4 linked regions of the Drosophila melanogaster genome follow. The protein of the gene in region 4 interacts with the protein of the main gene of each other region in a pairwise test. Each region holds a gene or a part of one and is shown on either strand. Other genes may lie near its edges.

Region 1 (6,461 bases), on a different chromosome or scaffold from region 4:
GCTATTTGCCAATATCTTCCTCATTTCCAGGGAAAAAGAATTCACAGTTCCATATACATTTTTGTCCATTATATGAGCTCCCATTGTGTGATTCTGTTGCAGAATTTATGAATTTCTTCTTTAAATGGAGCGCTTTTCCATTAAGCTGCTGCAATTGAATCAGAATAAGTATCATACTACTGGTCTCTTTTAAATTTGTTAAATTGTTTAAGAATATCAAGTGGTGCCTTTGCCATAAATGAACTTTCACCTGGCAATGTTGGTTCAGTTGAACGTATTCGCACATGCTGAAGATTATGACACACAAAAGTTGGCAGGAAAGTTCACTGAAACTCCGCTTTTCCTTGAATGGCTATATGTAAAATCAACATTAAACTTGCTTTCTGGTAAAAGCCTTGATTTTTTTTTATCAAAATACAAAACGGTAGTACGAAATTCGGAAAACAAGTCAGCTTTCGTCTAAGTCCTTGTAGCATTTCGATACCTTGAAATGGTAACTTTCTAGGAATAATAATATACATATATAAATATTTAGATCTGAGAGTATTTTAAGAAAACTCTTCTTCTTTTTATTTTTACTTGTGTATTTTGGTTTTTACGTTGTTTACATCCCTGGTTGTAAACTTATTTATTTATAAATGCTGAATATCGAATTTAGAATGTGCTGATGGTTGTGAATATTCGATTTGCTTCACTGGTAATGGGCGAGTGCCTCCTTGTTAATAACGCCCGCATAACTGGTGTACTTCGGCGAGGTTCCATTGAGGGCGATGAACTGCTCCGCCACCTCCACGGCAACACGGACCTGCGCCTCCGAAGTGCTCGCGCCCAGATGCGGCGTGGCCACCACCTTGGGATGACTGATGAGGGCCTTGGTGACCGCAGACTTTGGCGGCTCCTCGGGATAAACGTCGAAGGCCGCGCCGGCCACTTTTCCGCTCTCAAGGCCATCGAGCACGGCCTGCTCGTCGATGATGCCGCCCCGGGCCACATTCACCACCTTAACGCCCTGTTTGCACTTGGCCAGTGTCTCCGCCGATATGAGATCTGATGGGATTCAGCAAAGAAATCTATATAGTTTAGCTTGAATTTTATGCATACTGCTGTTAAATGTTAATCTCTTAATCTCTTATAAATATTCTATCAATGCGCGACTTACTTCTGGTGGCTGGGATCAGCGGCGTGTGCACGGTTATGTAGTCCGCCAGTGGCCAAATCTCCTCCAGCGTCATCTTCTCGATGCCCGCCGCCTTGGCCTCAGCCTCCGTGGTGATGGGATCGTAACCAATAATCTGCAAAGCACTCAGAGTTCGATTAAAATTCCAAAATAAGTAAATACCCCATTCAAAACACACCCGCATGCCCCAGGTCTTCATCCGAATGGCGACCTCGCGTCCAATGCGTCCCAATCCGAGAACGGCCAGGGTTTTTCCATACAGCTCTGTGCCGGCATAGAGCTTCCTGTCCCAGCGACCCTCCTTCATGCTCTGACCGGCGGGGACGACGGGACGGGCCAGGGAGCCAATTAGGATGCACGTCAGCTCACAGGCCGAAATGGAATTGCCACCCGGAGTGCTGAAAGCGACGAGAGTTTAGTTAAACATTCCCTAAATGCCTCGCTAGACACTAGCTGTTGCGCTAAGTTGAGCGTTTCTGGTGGGCAAATGGGTGGCGTTTGTTGTGACTAGACAGCATTATGCAAATTCCGCCAAAAAAGAATTGAATGGGAGGTGGGAAATATGGCAATTTTCCAGCTTTCCAGGACATCTGACATGGATGTGGCCAACCCAGCACCCACCACCCACAACCCATAGCCACCCAAACACCCACGCAACTCCATCGACACTCGTCGTCCCTTAATTATGCGTGTCAAACGGCGTCAATTGACCCAAGTCATGGGTATTCTGGGCTGGGATGGCATATCAACTGCCAATCCTGCGATTCGGAATGCGCATAATTATTTGTGAGCTGCGCCATCGGAGATTACACTACGCTGCATACCATAAAACACTGCTAGTTTGAATACCCATGTTTATGATCATTATTGAGATTACCACAATTTTACTGAACAGTAATATTTCCTCGCAATTGATAAATCTGCCATAAAGGGCTACATAAATTCATTTCCGAGAACAACTAATTAATATTTTCGTTCCATAAATTAGAAACTGTTTAAAAATGCAAATAAATGAAATCGGAGCCGAAAATGGATTGAATTGTTTACCAACTTGAACTATAAACAGAATGGTAAAATATCCATGAAATATATTGCATGGCAAGAGCTCTAATTAACCATAAATAAGTACTTTGTACTGTTTGTACTTTCTATATCAGACTTTCAGCTACAAATACAAGTTGGTCTTGTGGCATAGTGTTCGTGGCTACTCTTTTCCCGCCCTGCAATGCACCGGAGGCTTACGGAGCACTTACTTCAGGACAACGACATTTTGCGCTGTGGCTGCGGGAACATCGATGTTGTCAACACCCGCCCCCGCACGGCCAACGACCTTCAGGCTGCCGGATCCGGCGGCCAAAACTTCCGCGGTTATTTTGGTATCCGAACGAACGATGGCTGCGTCGAAATTCTGAAATGCGGTGTAATTTAATAATTAGCAACTGGGTAAATATAAATATTTGTCATCTAATTGCCTAACTCATTTCCCTGGCCATCTGGATGGCATCGATTACTGCTTTCTTCTGGAAACGTGATTGATACCACCTAACACCTGTACTTTATCATAAATAAAAGCAATTCGTCTGGCGTATGTATGTTTCTGGCTAAGATTATTGAACCTCTTGATATTTTCCGGCAATTTGTGATCCTACTGGAAACAATTTATTTAATGTTGAGGCAACATCGTCTGATCGGCCGTTTGATTGATAAGAACTATTGGACCGATAGTAATAAATGGTGATAACAATGTCTGGCCCAATTGTTCACAGCAGATTATTGCCATTTAAAAGGAATAGTTTTTTTTATTTTGTAGAATAAAATCTGAAAGTGCATTTCGAAAAGTGGTTTAAAATGCTGGGCAGTTTAAAATGAACAATAGAGAATAATATAGTCGAGATACTCGACTAGCAGATACCCGTTATTTGGTTTGTGGGAGTGCGAACGAGCGAAATTACAAAAATTCTTTGGTATATCGATAGAAATTGTCAAAATTGTGGGCGTGGTAGTTTGCGTTCAGACGGGCGGACAGAAGGACGGACATACCGACTTGGCCAATGAATCTAATCAATAATATATATATAATACTTTATATGCTTTCCTGCTACCTGTTACATAAATTTCAAAGAATCTAACGGGTATAAAAACCATTTGGTTCAGACTAAATTCTTTTTCTCTCTGCGAACGTGAAAAAAAATTTGTTGTCAAGTACTTATTTTCTGACCCTTGCAATTTGCTTTTATGTTATTCAATAAAATCACCAATTAAAAGTATCCGTCTCTAAATCAAATAAAATTCAAAACATGCATTCGTGCCCATACAGACATGAAGCGGTTTAACTAATTGAGACAAACATGCTTGTCAAAATTTAAAGCTGTTTTCGTGCAAGAGAAAACAAATTTAAATAAATTATGAGAGTAATTGATTTTGATTTGAAGAAGCCACAAAATGTTTTTTTCTAGTTTTTGTTTATTTTATCTTTATAACTGCGGTGAAAATATTCTCTTAGCCATTAACCCAATAAGGCTTAAAGTTTGGAGACAAGGAAAATAAGATTTGTAAAAACATTCTATATTCCATAACAAAGATGATAATGTTAAAAAAAGGGGTCAATTCCTTATCATTAGTTTTAATTTTGTTAAATACAATCTCCATACTGCAGTAGTTTTGAAATATACTTTCGGTTTGATGTGCTTAGATTGCTTAGTTACAGACTAATTGAAATGTTATTATTATGTAACGCCCACGCGTACTATCATATATGTACACACACATATACAATGCACCCATATCTCAGAGCGTTGCACATGTTTTTAACCACACTTGAATCATTCGCAAAGCTTTCATCCCAGCGACTTAACTCGTTCATATACATCTGAACGTGTGTATGTATTTACTTATTTACCTGTACTGAAATCCCTAAGCCACTTACCTTAACTTCCTGACACAGTTCCTCCACGGGGAGCTTTAGTTTGTAGGTAACCTTGTCAAAAAAAAAGAAGGAAAATATATGGTCAACAACGTTGATTAAATTGTGCAATAAATTAAATGCACTTATTTTCTATTTGTCCACTTCTAAGCGCTTTTACATGCTTGCAAATTCACATACAGTGTGTACTCGATAAGTAAAAGCAATCGAATAGCTTAATTTAAATGAATTGCATTGTAGGCATAGACTTTCAAATATTTAATATCTTTTTAGTGTTAGTTTTCGTCGAAAAAACATTTTTTGTGTGGTTATACTTAGTTTAATTATTTGTATTTTTATCCGAGGGCGCACTGTACTTTTGAGCACTTGTATGGGTGTAAGCTTTTGCTTACTCCAACAAATAATCGACTGTCACGTCAGGGGATTGGCGAACCTTACCTTAATCCCATGCTGTTCCAGCAGCTCCACGCAGGATTTGTCCACAGCATCGCAGACCAGCACTTTTCTTATATTGAGGGGCATATTTGGGTGGGTAATGAATACACTGAAAAATCTGGACAACCGGTAGATTGCGTTAATTTTTGCCAATTACTTTCCGCAACTCACGATCTGCGCCGCCGAGCAAACAAATTGAACTGACTTCGAGAGTGGGTTTCTCGGGCCATCGAACCTGACTTCGAATGCCTCTCGCCGGTGCAGTGCGATTGTTGTTTTTTCTGGGTGATAACCAAACCACTGAGAGGATCGGAGAGCGCCACTTGGATCTTAAAGTTCTCTCCTTCTTCTCGCGCGATTTGTTCTTCTTGAGTGTGCGTGTGTGAGTTGTTTTCGATTTTTGCACGCAAAACAACAATTTTAACCCACGGACGACCCTGTGATTAAAAATGATTTAAAAATTTCAGCTTTTGTAAAAAAATATGGCAAGCTTTCTAACTTTAATTGTATTATGCATTTATTTACTTTCTAATAGGGTTCAAAAAAAAGTACTTACCCATATAATCAAACTCACGCCGAATAGATAAGACTGCATTTATTTTTAATATTTTTATTGTATTTGCTTTTATTTGCAATTTAGCTTTCATTTAACTACGTATTTTCCAAAAACATATTGTGAACAACATTTGAATGCGGAAAATGAAAACGAAAACAACAAAATGTCGTCAAGGTGATGGCAGGTATTCATCCTTAACATTAAATTAAAGGAATCTTACAAAGTTGTTAACAAAATAATTAGGTAACAAATTGAAATATCATTAACTATTTACATACAATTTTTGAAAATTGCTGATTGGATTTTAGTTACCGTTTTTCTCATTTTTTACAATATGTATATGTTTTGTATGTATAAAATATTCTATATAAATTGGGAGCGGTGTTGATATTTCCACCAATAGTTCATTTTTATCTTTCCAGGGTATTCGGTGTGGGGATCTTTGGTTAATAATATATTGATTACGGAAATTTCATGCGTGCTCTTGTCAAATTTTCCACCTTCTATTCCAGTTCAATAAGTTATTTAGGCTAAAAAAATAAGGTTTGCTTTTCTTATTTAAGTGGCTTTGAAAAGTAGAGAAGTTATTACCGCTAAATTTAATTATATATAGGCGTATCTTTAAAGTTTCAGTATGCTTGCTATAAAACTTGTTTGTATGTTTGTGTTTTTTTTTTATAGTTTTCAAGAGTGTCAACAAATCGAAATTGCTTGGTTTGGTTTTCATTTGTTTTATTATAATCGGAAATAAGAGTTTATTATTACAAAAAAATTGCTATACTTTTGAAGCAAACCAGTTTTACTTCTTTGCAGACCTCTGTCCGTCTGCTAGAAGGTTATGTAATGGAATATATGAATTTATCAAGTTTAGTTTTCGAAAACTTTCAAAGAACTTGAGTTGAGAAATTTAAGGCATCTTACAAAATATCTTCAACATATTCCTATCAGATCTGATGAAATTTTCATGGCAAAGTTCACCTTTCCGTTACCAGAAAGTATCTAACAATATCTGGGATAATCAGTTATTTTTTAATCAATATTATTTTAATTAGTTTTTGGATTTCACGCTTACAAAATGCCGGCTGATGTATCTTTATCGGTTTAAATTTTGTTAATTATGGCAAGAACATACATACATATTTATATATGCAGCTCTATAAATGTGTGTATCTTTTTTAATATATACCATTATAATATATTGAATTACCAGTTCTGTGAATTATGTGCAATATTCTAACATACACACTTCTCATCAACTGACCATTTAAACTTAAGTTTTCCGCTTGTCCCCTTCTTAGCTGCAAAGGATCGTATCTAGTTTTGTTTTTAACTTTATGCTAGTATTAAAAAGTAATATTTCATTTAGGTTT
Region 2 (4,747 bases), on a different chromosome or scaffold from region 4:
TTCGCCCGGAAAAAGTGTCTTTTCATTTCAGATGGGACACGCGCTAGATTCGTTTGAAAACTCAATGCAAAGAAGCGATAAAAATTGTTGCTATTTGCGTTCGTTTCAGTTTGCTCAGTCGGATTTTATGGCATTAGAAGTGCTGCGAAAACTAGTTAACAATTCCTTTACGATCCGCTAAGAGAGGCAAAAGGAGCGAAACTACTACTTCAACTTCTACTCCTACTTCTAATACTACTATCTGCATGGCGTTTTAAAAGTTTTCTTTTGTTTTGACATTATTTGGGAAATTGAAACTGTAATATTTGCAGCGAGAGCTGCGAGAGCTAAAGTTTGATTAAATTACGTTTTTACCATTTGGCTTTCGAGTTTTACAGCTGTTTACAAGTTGTATTTATTGTACTGGCAGTTTAAAAGTGCTGAACTGGCTTTTATTGTACTCGGTTTATTTTTTCAAGACAAATAACCAATAATAAAAGTCAGCATGGCATGGAGGTGATAAACTTGTAAAAGCAATTCAATTAGTTTTGATCATCTTCTGGCTTCTTAGTTACAAGGGAATCAACATCTCAGTGGGCAAACAGAAGGTGTTTTTTGTATCAGCATTCAATTAGTTTTAGAAAAATCATTTATTTTGTGGAAATTCGTTTTGGGTTAATATAAACTAAATCACTATCTTTTGTTTGATTTGATTAAGTTTTGGATTCGTGTATGTTTTTATTTATTTATAATTTTTTCTCTAAAGTTCCATGTCTTTAACCCAATCAATACAAACACATTCCCTCTGGACTTTATTGTTCTCGTTCGCTTTCTTTCATGTCGAGCAGGTTGCTTCATTAAATGGTTTCTGTAATTGCTGTTTGGCCACAAGTTTGTTTAATTGTTGGCTGCAATATGCGCTTACGGCATCGTCTCTTGTTGTATGCAACAAGCCGGAAAAACGTGCCACCCAGACGAGTGGTATGGTGTGGAGTGGAGTGGGCCAAGACCCAGGGCCAAGACTAAGTTCCAGACCAAGAGCAAGACCAAGACGGAGAGCGAGTCGAGACAGCAGAAGAAATGGTAGCAGGCAGGCAAAAGGCACAGCTTGGGCTAATTGTTAATGTGGCAGTGAGATGTGGGTGGTGCAACGTGGGTAGTTACCAACTGCAGTGGCCGTGGCAGTTAGAACCAGTTTGGTCTTTTTTGCCCTGGCCAAAAACCGGCGGCAAAGTCAAGTTCAATGCACATAAAAGACTTTACGGGTCTAGAAAGTGCTGGGGGTACGAGTGCTTCCTGGGCCACAAGGAAACTTGGCTGAAAAGAAATGCCAGCAATGGTCGCAAACTTTTTTTTTTTTTTTTCCATCCACTTAAATTGCAAATTTCCAGTTTCGATTGCAAATGCTGCTGGTGCATTTTCCTTTCGTCCCGGCAGTTGGATATGGATTCCAATGTCGATTCGGTTAGATAACCACAGCGGGCCTTCATAAAGACCGGGGTCATAAAATGGAGAGCGTTTTGGCCAAAAAGCACAAACAATCAATGCCAGTTGCATAACGAATTTTTGAGCAAAGATACTTTGGAATACGCTTTATGATTTTAATGCCTGGTAATTAAACGAAGTCTGGCCAGTATTCGCTGGTTTCCGGGCTAATTGAAGTTCAAGTGCAATGAAAATAAATTGCTTGCGAAATGTGCGTGCGCCAGGAAAATGAGAAGAAGCCCGCCATATGCAGTGACTGGCCGCGTCCATTTCCTGGCCAGAAAATGAAAATCGCTGCATCGAAGGCCGACACTTTTCCCAGGCCCACGCCCAGAAATTTCGCTCGAAGTCTCTCCACTGGCGCTTGTTGTTTTCACGCCTCGATGGCCCTTGCAGTTGTCGGTTATTTATATTAAAATTTCAGAATGATGAACCCGACCCGAAACGAACCGACCCCATGTACTTACCATTAAGGTGGGGATGCCACCGCCGCAGATAGCCATTTCCATTTTCCTTGGATGTCGGCGGAAGTTCGGGCAAATGAGGCGTCAAGTTGCACGTTGCACTTTTCGCGTTTCCACAAAAGTGGCAGCTCAATTTGTAATTGTTGTTGAAATTTCTGTTATTCTCCCACGCTGTTTTTCGCCGTCTTGGTATTTTAAATACAAATTGTAAATGAGTTTGTTCAGCGTTGAACCTTATTGTTTGTTTGTCGGACCTGGAAAAGTATTCGTTCAGTTTGGTTAACTATCACAGCAGCTAATTGCGAAAAGTGCTTTTCAAATTCTCATATTAACTGTTTTAAACATTTCCCCATAATTATGAAACATCATAATTAACAAATTAGTAAAACAAAAATCATTATATGGTACTTTAACAGATGACACATCTGCAAAGGCTGTGTTAAATGAGTACTTTTTAAAACTATGAAGGCAGAAAAATAGTATCCTGCGATTTCAAAAATTCCTGTTCTTAGAAAATCAAATGAATGACAAATGAATGAATTATGTTTAATGAGAATTATTTCTGATCTTATATTCTTTACCAAAATCTTTTTCATTAGTAACTAAGAGATTTTTGAGATAAAACAAGACCATAAAATCTAATTTAACAAATTTAACTATCTAACTAATCGTTTTCGTTATTCGTCCTTAGATGTTTCACTTATAAGTTTCACTTTTGTCATTCAGTAAAATATTCATTAATTTGCTCGACGTTTAACTTGATGCGTTTATATTTTTTTGATTTAATTTATTTTAAGGTATATTATATCCTTGTTAGCCAGCACTTTGGTTAAATGTAATGCAAGCTCTTTATATTTTTTTTTTTTTTACAAAATGATTTTCTCATATCCTTTGCGGAGAAAAGCAAACTTTGACTATATTCATTCAACTTTGTCTTTGAGCTTTGTTTAAACTTGCTCGTCGCAGTCCTCGTTCGTTTCTCATTTATTTAATGCGACTTTTAATTTGAGTTTTCGTTTCGTTTCGTTTCGCTTTGCCTTGTTTACTTTTGGCTGGAAAAACTGTGGAGGAAAACCGCACGCTTGCGCGCTGCTGTTGCAACTGTGCCTCGAATTTTCGCGCCACTTGAGTTTTGTGTGTGTTCGGGGCCGCGCAGTTTTCACGGAGACAGCCGGTTTGTTGTTGGCTCGCTTTTCGCTGCCTCGCTTTTCCCATTTTCCATTTCCATTCCTTTGCCTTTGCCGAAAAGACTCGGCCATGTCTGGCGTATTGCTGTTGCATTTTCCATATTTTTTCTCCTCCTTCTTTTTTTTTTGAATTTTATTTTTTTATGTGTGGGGCATAATAAGCTGCTGATTAAATTTGCAACGCTCAGAAGGAAGTCGAATTTGCAATTTATTCGGGGAAATTCATTTGCATTCCAAATCTGTGGGGATAAATGGAAATTAGACAGGTGCTACGATGCCAAAAATGATTTTACCTATATTAATTGTTACATTTTTTATAAATTCCAATGATTAAGAGTTTATTAAAGTTGTCTTTATATTTGATATATATATTCTTCAAACAGAGCATTTCTTTTTCGACTTTTGAAAATTGAAAACCTCACCACTCACTTGATATTTGTCTTTTAGCTGGCTGCATTTCGAGCTGCTTTTTTGGCCATGGCTTTGGCCAAGGCGTTAGCCAACTTTTGACCATCAACATTTGCACAATATGCGCTGTTGCTGTGCTGATGACAACGAAATGTACAAGTTTTCCTACCATCTGTGTGCATTTTTCTTTATTTTTTACGAGGGCTTAGAGTGCGTGCGTCTGGGGATAAAACTGAGCTCAGTGCCGTCATGGTTGTATAATTAATTTATTAATGGCAACAAGTGAAATGCACTGCCACGCATTTCCTATAAGGCTTGGCCCAGCCTGATTATGTGATTTATAGGAACTTATATATTTATAAGTTTGATATTGATATTTATATTTGATTTATAGAACTTATACCCCTTGGTTGGTGTGATGTGGTGACTGGTGGGTAAGAGAGTGCTAACCCCTGGGAAAGTTCAACTGCAGATATTATGCAACAGGCAACCGCGAGTCACGCACGCGCTGCCGCAAATGAAGTAGCTGACAAATTATCTTTATTTCATTTTATATTATTTTATTGCAGCCCATGGTGGGACTTTAAAGCGGCTTAGAGTGGCGAGGTCGGACTATCTGTTCGAGTGCATCGAAACCTGGGCCAGATGCTGAGCTGATTGGGGATTTTTGGCTATGATTGGTGGTTACCACGGGAAAGAGAGTGAGAGAGAGAGGGGGGGAGGCGGCTTTTGGCACTTTCACATTTGTTTTTGCTGGTGTTGAAATTGAGTTATTAGAGGAGAGCCATGTAAGCGACCAGGGGCGTATACTTAATATTTAAGCAAGGGGGGGGGGGGGGTAATATTCCCAGCTTACTAATGAATACATATAATTTTTATCAATTTTATAAAATCGTTTCTTTTTCATGACCAGAGCTTTCGACATCACTTTCTTTACCCCTTCCGCCGAGAGTCTTAATTCCACACCTCTGGGCACGTTCCTCGGGCAATGTGCCAACCTCCTACCGAAAGCCACATAATTGCTGTAATCGCGGTGGAGATTTGCAATCTCGTAATAAATTCAGACACCGAAGATGCGCCAGAAGTTGGAGGAGCCGCTCCCTCCGGCCGGAAACCCCCATGTGGCCACCAGATGCGTCGCCAGTTGCAGCTGCAATAGGCGGAAATCTCACACAGAAAGTTGCATTGCGGATGCAGTCATCGTCGTCGTTGTCGTCTCCCGGC
Region 3 (3,967 bases), on a different chromosome or scaffold from region 4:
TTTGTAACATTTCAAATGTATTCGATAAAATGCCATCGATATATTTCTGGTCAGGTAATAACATCGAATATCAGAAATTATGTAAAGATAACAACGTGCAGTTGGTGTAAACAAAAACAAGAAAAACGTAAACAGATCGGATTCATTACCAATCCATTTCCAGATTGAAAACCCATTAAAGACATGTCCGACGAGTACGCCTGCGTGGCCAAGGGCAAGCTTAAACTAAAGAACGATTCGGATCTCAAGAAGAAAAAGAAGAAGCACAAGGGCAAGGACAAGGAGAAGGAGCTGCAGAAGGCGTTCGTGGAGCAGCAAATAGCGGAATCGGGGGCCACATCCTCCTCCGCCACCAGTGGCTACGAGCGGAAGCTCACCAAGGCCGAGCTGGCCAGTAAGAAGCAGCAGGAAAAGATGCGCAACAAGCGAATCATGGACAAGGCACAAACCACCCACAAGGAGCGCGTGGAGAAATTCAACGAGCACCTGGACACGCTCACCGAGCACTTTGACATCCCCAAGGTGTCCTGGACGAAGTGAGGCGACGCCGCTCGTAACTTAAAGCATACATTTATTATAAGGTTAAGTAATTTCGACTACGTTTCAACCTGGAGCGCAGGAAAAGTGAGAGGGGAGGCCAAAATAAACAATCCAGATGGCACAACTAAGCTAAATACACAGGCATATGTAGTTACAACGTAAAGAGGGGTAGTTTCCAACTTTCAGTCCATTGTCCTTGGAGGGCTTTTGATCTTCTAGCGCGGTGCAATTAGCTCGTACATGGCGTACTTCCATGTCCACGCGCGCACCAGTTGCTCGAACCTTTCGCGCTCGTGCTCATAGATGTATCCAAGTTCAGGCTCCATGCAGACTTCGGTATACGGATCGGTCAGCAGGCTCTGCACAGAAAGCAGCACCTTGGCCACGTTCAGCGCCAGAGACCAGTTGTGCTGCTGGAAGATGTCGATGCCCACGTCCCCATGCCGCGAAACATTCGGATGCAGGATTTTGGTGAGGAAACGTACTGTGGGCGGCGTCATCGGATATCGCTCCGGGAAGTATATGAACAGGAAGAACTTGCCGCCTTCGTAGGGACTGCCCGGTGGCCCCAGAATTGTCGCCTGCCAGTAGTTGTTTTGCCGATCCAACGGTATGGCCGATATGCCCTCAGATTCGTAGCTGTTCAGCAGATTGGCTTCACCGCGCAGAAAGTTGTTGCGCATTACATTGCCCGGCTCCCGATCGCCCAGCTGTGGATCTGCCTCCTGTGCATCCTGACCCCGACCGCCCATCTCAATCAGGCAAGTGCGACAGAAGCAGGAAGACATCAGTGCCCCGTACAGCCGATACCAGTTTGGATTGTCTGCCAAACTGTCGAACAGCGGCCAGCGCTGCTTGATATACGCCTTCCACATGCTCTGGGCCGTGTTTTTCCCGACAATGTCGTGCCATTGCTTGCAAACTTCACTAGCCATCCACAGCGACATGTCGTCCAAATAGGCAAATATTTTCAGCATCACCTCGACGGGTATTATGTTGACAATGTTTCTGCTGCTGCCACTTGCTCCGCTTCCGCTGGCGGCGTTGTATTCATGCACTCGCGCCCTTCCATCGGCCAGCTCATGCATGTAATGGGGCAGAGCCAAGGGAGCCGTGGCCCGCGGACGCTTAATGGGCAGCAGGAAGGGATTAATGGCTCTCTCGTGCTCAAAGTCGCGCTCCGGAGACTCGCGTCGTGGTGCCGCAGCCTCCGGCACCGGCTGTGGCAGATCTATAACTGGTTGGGCTGGCTGTTGATCCTGTGGCTCCATTGGTGGCTGCGGATTTGGATGTTGTGGCACGGCTGCCGGTTGGGGGTCCTCCAGATCCTCAAAGCCCATGATGTCTACGTCGTTTTCGGTCTCCTCGTCTTCCTGCTTGTCCTTGAACGGCGGCTCGTCGTTCCCAGAATCCTCGTCATCGGAAAGCTCCGTGAGCAGCTCCTCCGCCCGCTGTGCGTTGTACAGGAAGGCGTGGCAGGCGCCGCACAACGGCTCCCCGAAGTTGGGCCCATAGTAGCCGTTGCACACCCAGCAGGTGTTACTATTCTGCAAATTGGAAAGGCTATTTATTAATCGGCCCGCAAGAAACTAGCCTATTGTATACATACCGAAAAAGAGAAGGTCGGCTCTACCAGCTGGTGGTGTTCCTGGTCCGGATCGTCCGGGTCGTCCATCTCGTCGCCACTGCTGGCCAGTTCCTTTAGCAACTGCTCCTGGTCCTTTTGCTGATGCGCTGGCACGCAGCTAGTCATTTTACAGAACTCCCGAGAAACTGGTGCTAAAACAAATAAATAATCGACAAACGATAGACCATCTAAAAGTGTTACCAAGTGGTGTTAGCTTCAAAACCTGTCAAACAGTGTTGTGGTTATCGGACTATTGGTCGGTCGATAACCGAATCAAAACAAGTGCTGCTAACTTCACACGTGCAGTTTATGTGATATTCATCAGCAAAATGAAGGCAAAAAAGAAGTTGGGTAGGTAACGTCGCTACGAAAGTAATTCTTTAAACGTCCGTTTACCCCGCCAATTATTTCAGGCGTGGGATTGAGCCGCCAGGAACGACAGGTGCTCGTCATCGGGGAGATCATTCAGGAGCTGCTGAAGGCGCACGAAGCCAAAAAGGATGTAAACCTTAATCGGATGAAATCATTGGTGGCCTCCAAATATGGACTGGACAGTTCGCCGCGCCTGGTCGACATAATTGCTGCCGTGCCGCAGGACGCCAAAAAAATTCTGCTTCCAAAGCTGAGGGCAAAGCCCATTCGCACAGCAAGTGGCGTAAGTCGCACTTGCTTACACAAGGCGTACTATTCATTTCAATTATTTCAATCCAGATCGCCGTGGTCGCCGTCATGTGCAAGCCGCATCGTTGTCCGCACATCAATATGACCGGCAATATATGCGTCTATTGTCCCGGCGGACCGGACAGCGACTTTGAGTACTCGACACAGTCGTACACAGGCTACGAGCCGACCTCGATGCGAGCCATCCGGTCGCGGTACGATCCTTTTCTTCAGACCCGACACCGCGTTGAACAGCTGAAGCAGCTGGGACACAGTGTGGACAAGGTGGAGTTCATCGTAATGGGCGGTACGTTCATGTGCCTGCCGGAGGAGTACCGCGACTACTTTATCCGCAACCTACACGACGCCCTCTCCGGCCACAGCAGCGCCAATGTGGCGGAAGCCGTACGCTACTCGGAGAAGTCACGCACAAAGTGCATTGGCATCACCATAGAAACAAGGCCAGATTACTGCCTAAAGCGGCACATATCGGATATGCTTAGCTATGGTTGCACCCGGCTGGAAATCGGTGTGCAATCGGTTTACGAAGACGTGGCCAGGGATACGAACCGCGGACACACGGTGCGAGCGGTGTGCGAGAGCTTCCAGCTGGGCAAGGATGCTGGCTATAAGATCGTGACGCACATGATGCCTGATCTTCCCAATGTTGACTTTGAACGCGACATCGAGCAGTTTATCGAGTACTTTGAGAACCCTGCCTTCCGCTCTGACGGCCTAAAGATCTATCCCACGCTCGTCATTCGCGGCACTGGTCTCTACGAGTTATGGAAAACCGGGCGATATAAGTCATATCCGCCATCCATGCTTGTGGACTTAGTGGCGAAGATTTTGGCCCTTGTACCACCATGGACGCGAGTGTACCGCGTACAGCGCGACATTCCCATGCCGCTTGTTAGGTAACTTGTCCGATATATATATTAAATAAACCTGACATTTTTCTTCATTTTAGTTCCGGCGTGGAACACGGAAATCTCCGTGAACTGGCGCTGGCCCGCATGAAGGATCTTGGAACCACTTGCCGCGATGTTAGAACCCGCGAAGTTGGCATTCAGGAAATCCACAACAAGGTGCGCCCTTACGAAATTGAGCTAATTCGTCGGGACTATGTGGCCAATGGCG
Region 4 (4,559 bases):
TATTATTTAAAGCTCACGAATGTGCTACTTTAAAAACCTCAAAAACCTGAAGAATAAAGTTTGTTTTTCGTTCTGTGGTGTCGCCTGGCAAAATGTTGTCAATAAAAGGCGAATTTATGATAGAGTATAAATATGCTCATGGGACAGCACAGTCAAACGACTTAGCAAACTGCAATAACAATTCTTTGTAAATATTTTCTTCCTTTGGCTGAAAGCGTCCAGTCCTTGAAAGGACGTGGGCCAAATTGCATGATTATAATGATCGTCCCAAAAACGTTGTTATCGCTATTGCTGCTGTTGCAATTACGTTTGCGGCTCTTTGAGCGGCTGCCAAGCGTTGGCCATTTAACTGTCTTTTTTATTCGTTGCCCAAATATTATGGTAACAGTACCTTATGGTAAAGTACCTTTCCTATGCTTTTGACTGCTAACTACATAGTCATCGCAACTTTTGCTCTTCCAATCAATGTAAAGTGGCTTGTGTAAGCTTTGGTGACCTTTTATGCTTATTTTCTAAGCCCAGCAGAAATTGGCTTTAGAATTTCAAAGGAATCTGAAAATATGAGGAATGGATGTCGAAAAAATTCAATAAACTTTGACTAGTACTCTCATAAAATGACGGTCGATTGAATTGACAACCCATAACATTAAATATGCCAAAACTTTCCAAACTTTCGTAGGAAACTTGTATTAGAAAACTAAAAGTACTTTAATATTCGCCAGGGAAATCTTGTAGATGGCTAAAATTTCAAGTATCTACTTTAATGGAAACAAATACAACCCCATTTCAAGCCACGTCGTTTGGTTGCGAAGCTTCTCTCATATTTTATCGCTCCTTAGGTATTATAATATGGCAAAGAAAAAGTTTCTGTAGACCGAAAAACTTGTCTATAGAAAGTTTAATTTGCTGCCACCCGCCAACAAAACGCCCAAGGACGGACATTTGGGCGGTTCGCTGTGGTCATTGGCTTTGTATGAATTACAATCGATACTTGGCGGATGGGGGATGGTTATCTATTCGTCTGTGTCTAAACCGAATATGGTTTAGATCGCCACCGAAGCGGCAAATAAGCAATTATGCTGTGTGTAACATTTCCCATACGCAGCATAACTTTGAGTGGCAGCCGTACGCGGCGTATGCGCAATATTTTCCAGTTGCCTGTGGCTTTGCCATAACAATGCGGCTTTTCTCTGAAATTGTTCGCATTGTATTGCAAGGGTTTTTGTTTGTCGGTTCTGCATTATACCTAAACAGGAATTTATATATGCGAGCTACACATACACACTCTGTCTTTCAGATGCTTTCTAGCCTCCACTCGGCAGCCTGTCTTGTGCCATTCATTCATTCATTCACTCATACAGTGAGTCTCTTTTTCACCGACTCACGGCGCAAAAGTCACCCAAGTGGTAATTAAAATTATAGCAACAATGCGACGTCTTCTTGGCCAAGAAGATGATGAAGAGGATGAAAAAGCCGCTGGCTGACACAGAAAGCGAAGCCGAAACGCTGTCGTTTGCTAGTGTTTGTACAGGCACACACGCTAACAAGTTGCGGCTGCTTACATATTTGCTAGGAAAAGGACACACAAGACATACACAGCCCAGCTTTGACTTCTTGAAATATTTATGAGTGCCCGCCAACTCGACCCAAAGACGCTGGTGACAAGCCAAGAAGAGCCCGAAACAAAAAACCAGTGAAGTGATTGTCACAAACCCGGAAAATACTATATGCACTAAGTCACCAGTCTGCAGAGTTTGGCGCTTTAAGTGTTGCAAAAATTATTTTTCACTTTTAGACTTTTTGTTTATTGATATTAAACTGCAATATATGCGTTCATCACACTTCAATTTTAAATGTATTTTTCAAAATTAAAGTAATAAGAGAATGCACATATAATGTTCTATATTTTCAATTGGCAATAAAGGGGATATATTTTGTTGTTTCAATTTTGCACTCAACAAAAAAATAACCCCAAGGGTTATCCTTCTTATGGGGCAAAAATAATAGATGCCTATCTATCTATATAATTTTTATCAAATGGCAAGATTTCTACGTACTTAAGCCTATTACTTTTGTAAAACAAGATTAAATTGTTTAAGAAAGTAGTTCTAAAATGTGAATTCTTGTATATTTCTAGACAGTGAAACTGGAAGCTAACTAAGCAACATAAAATAATTAGACAACAACATCGTTCCATTATTTTCGGCCATAGGGCATTTCCTTTTGCCAGCATCTACATTTTACAAATATGTCGCATGAAAACCCAAGGGGTTAAGCTCCGCATTTCGAGGTGAAAATTTACATGGGCCTCGAGATGATCGTTTAGCACATCATTAAAAATGTGTTGCTGTGCAGAAAGTTTCGAGTGCTCAGCACTCTGGGGTGGCAACCGCTCTCGAGTGGCAGAAATAAATAATTAAAATATACAAAAATGCCGACCAGAAGAGCACACAATTCCCGCCAAGGACGAAGGTTAATGCGTGGATTCGTGGCGGTGATGTGGGTTGAAATCTGGCATCAGTTTCACTGGCCTGCTGACAGGGCAACTTCACCTACCTTCAATTATTTACGGTGTGCGGTGTTCCGTCCACCTGCTTAATGCATTTGCAGCCTCTCGGAATTTTCCCAGCTGTGGAAGCAGCAAGTCCCAGGATTAATTAGTACTGAGTCCCAGGACTTTCAGCGAATCAAAGATTCTGCGGCGTGGGTATAATGTAATTAACGTGTGTTTTCCTTGGCTTCTACGCAGTTGAAGCTGCAAAAATGGTTGCAAGTGTTTTCTTTGCATAAACTTACACACACAAAACACGTCCTTCGATTTTGGTTCACTGGTTACGCGCTAACATTCACAATTTTCAGATGCACGATTGTTTTTTATGCAAGTAAACGACAAACAGTATGTTTTACTTTTTAAATAATTTGTTGCAGCGGAAAATGGAAACGTTTTTCTCTGTGGCCAAAGAAAATTTGTTCCGCTTTTTTGCGTCGCAGTTTCGCTTAATTAACAAAGTCGACGACTGAACGAAATGTCCTTTTTATACACACTTGTTCGCTTTTACCTTGCTCAAGTAAAAGCTTTCGGCTCTCTCCCGCTCTCTTTTGCCAGCTTTCTCTCTCTCAACGCGCTTTGCTCTCACTTTTTTGAATACCCTGTATGCAGTGAGGGGTATGATGAAGTACTTTTCAGCTAATTTTTAATGAAATGGTTTTTTGGAGAGTTTTGTTTTCTCAGTAATGACCATACGTTCCTATAAATATATATACTTTAGATAATACATTGTATTTTTCTGTGTTTTAATACAGAATTATACAATGAAACAAGCCACTGATTGTTGCAACCCCATTTTTTATAACTAATTAGTTATTCATTTATTATGTATTAAATTATTTCAAAATTAAATGTTAGCATCTTTGTAAGTTTAATGGTATTTTGAATATTGTAAACCTTTCATATAAAAGCTCTGCTCTTACAAAGCTCTTTCTCTCTCGCTCTCTCTGTAACTCTATCGCTGTGTTACAGCAGAGAAACAAAACAAACAACAGAGCGGAGCGGATACGGAAATGGTGCAGGCCAAAGACTGATGGCCGACTGATTGTGGCCATGTTGTCTGCCCTCCGTCTCTGTGTGTGTGTGTTTTTGTGAAGGTATAGATTTATCAGTGTTAGTGTGGGTGTTCATGCAACGCGAGTGGCAAGCCAGCTGGGAAAAATACTATGCAGAGCGTACGCAACGGGAGCGCAGCGAGAGATTTTTGCGGCCCATTGAGTGTGAATTAAGAGATGCCGGCTTAGTGCGAATCCTTGCTTATACATTTATGGTATTCTTTTTTGTTCCTCAGCTACACTGCATATATGGATCCATGTATGCCCTCGAGTGGCGGATGCTGGAGGCAGCCCGACGAGGATGGATGCTGGGTACTGAGTACTCCTATGAGGTTTCCGCATTTCGCTTTTCAGCATTTTTGTGGCATGCTTTTGGGGGAGGAACAAAATTAAATCTCCCTGGTATTGGTGCAGTAAATATCATTTTTAATCTGAATATTAAATATTGTGATGTGTAATGCAAAGAATGCCATTTTGAACTCTTGAAAAAATGTGCTTGTGCTGTCCTTCAACTACGGTCCTTGCACATTTGCAACAATCAAAAAGGTCAAGGGATGATTGGTGCAATAATTTTTGTTTAAGCAGTGCTCCAAAAACTTCCATTACAATTTCCGACTGTCATAAGCTGAATTAATGCTATTCCTAATTTTTTTTGCAGCTAGCATTAATCCCTAAGCGGCCATTAGATTGTCAGCAGAAAAAAGATCTACAAGCATTTGTGTTATTTAACTCGTTCCACTTTTCCATTTCGCTTTTCTATTTGGGCGAAAGCGCGAAAAACTCATTCCAGTCAGCATAAATGAAAGCTTGCGTTTGTTTCCGAAAAAAGGGAAATTTACGTTGGCAGTTGCAATCCCGTTTTGCGTGTTGCAAGGGATTCCGCACGATTTCCTGTTCGCCACGGACACTTTGCCTCCCACAAGTCCTGCCACACCAAACATCACGTCCTTCGCACG

What was found.
Region 1: the proteins of CG14853 (region 4) and CG6287 interact in a two-hybrid assay, tested with the Drosophila melanogaster proteins (one large-scale study listed by BioGRID).
Region 2: the proteins of CG14853 (region 4) and Cpr50Ca interact in a two-hybrid assay, tested with the Drosophila melanogaster proteins (one large-scale study listed by BioGRID).
Region 3: the proteins of CG14853 (region 4) and morgue interact in a two-hybrid assay, tested with the Drosophila melanogaster proteins (one large-scale study listed by BioGRID).

What each region holds. Positions count from the first base shown.
Region 1 is NT_033779.5:11,150,980-11,157,440, forward strand, and holds CG6287 (uncharacterized protein), read right to left. Parts: upstream 4,743-6,461; 5' UTR 4,623-4,742; coding exon 4,539-4,622; intron 4,155-4,538; coding exon 4,104-4,154; intron 2,586-4,103; coding exon 2,431-2,585; intron 1,576-2,430; coding exon 1,356-1,575; intron 1,293-1,355; coding exon 1,160-1,292; intron 1,048-1,159; coding exon 692-1,047; 3' UTR 527-691; downstream 1-526.
Region 2 is NT_033778.4:13,768,201-13,772,947, reverse strand, and holds the start of Cpr50Ca (cuticular protein 50Ca), read right to left. Parts: upstream 3,034-4,747; 5' UTR 2,975-3,033; intron 2,183-2,974; 5' UTR 1,974-2,182; coding exon 1,932-1,973; intron 1-1,931.
Region 3 is NT_033779.5:4,442,315-4,446,281, forward strand, and holds morgue (modifier of rpr and grim, ubiquitously expressed), read right to left. Parts: upstream 2,367-3,967; 5' UTR 2,294-2,366; coding exon 2,150-2,293; intron 2,088-2,149; coding exon 756-2,087; 3' UTR 556-755; downstream 1-555. Other genes in the region: CG15432 (uncharacterized protein), read left to right, coding at 184-540; Elp3 (elongator complex protein 3), read left to right, coding at 2,497-2,518, 2,581-2,822, 2,879-3,744, 3,798-3,967.
Region 4 is NT_033777.3:14,608,105-14,612,663, reverse strand, and holds the start of CG14853 (uncharacterized protein), read right to left. Parts: upstream 3,023-4,559; 5' UTR 2,557-3,022; intron 1-2,556.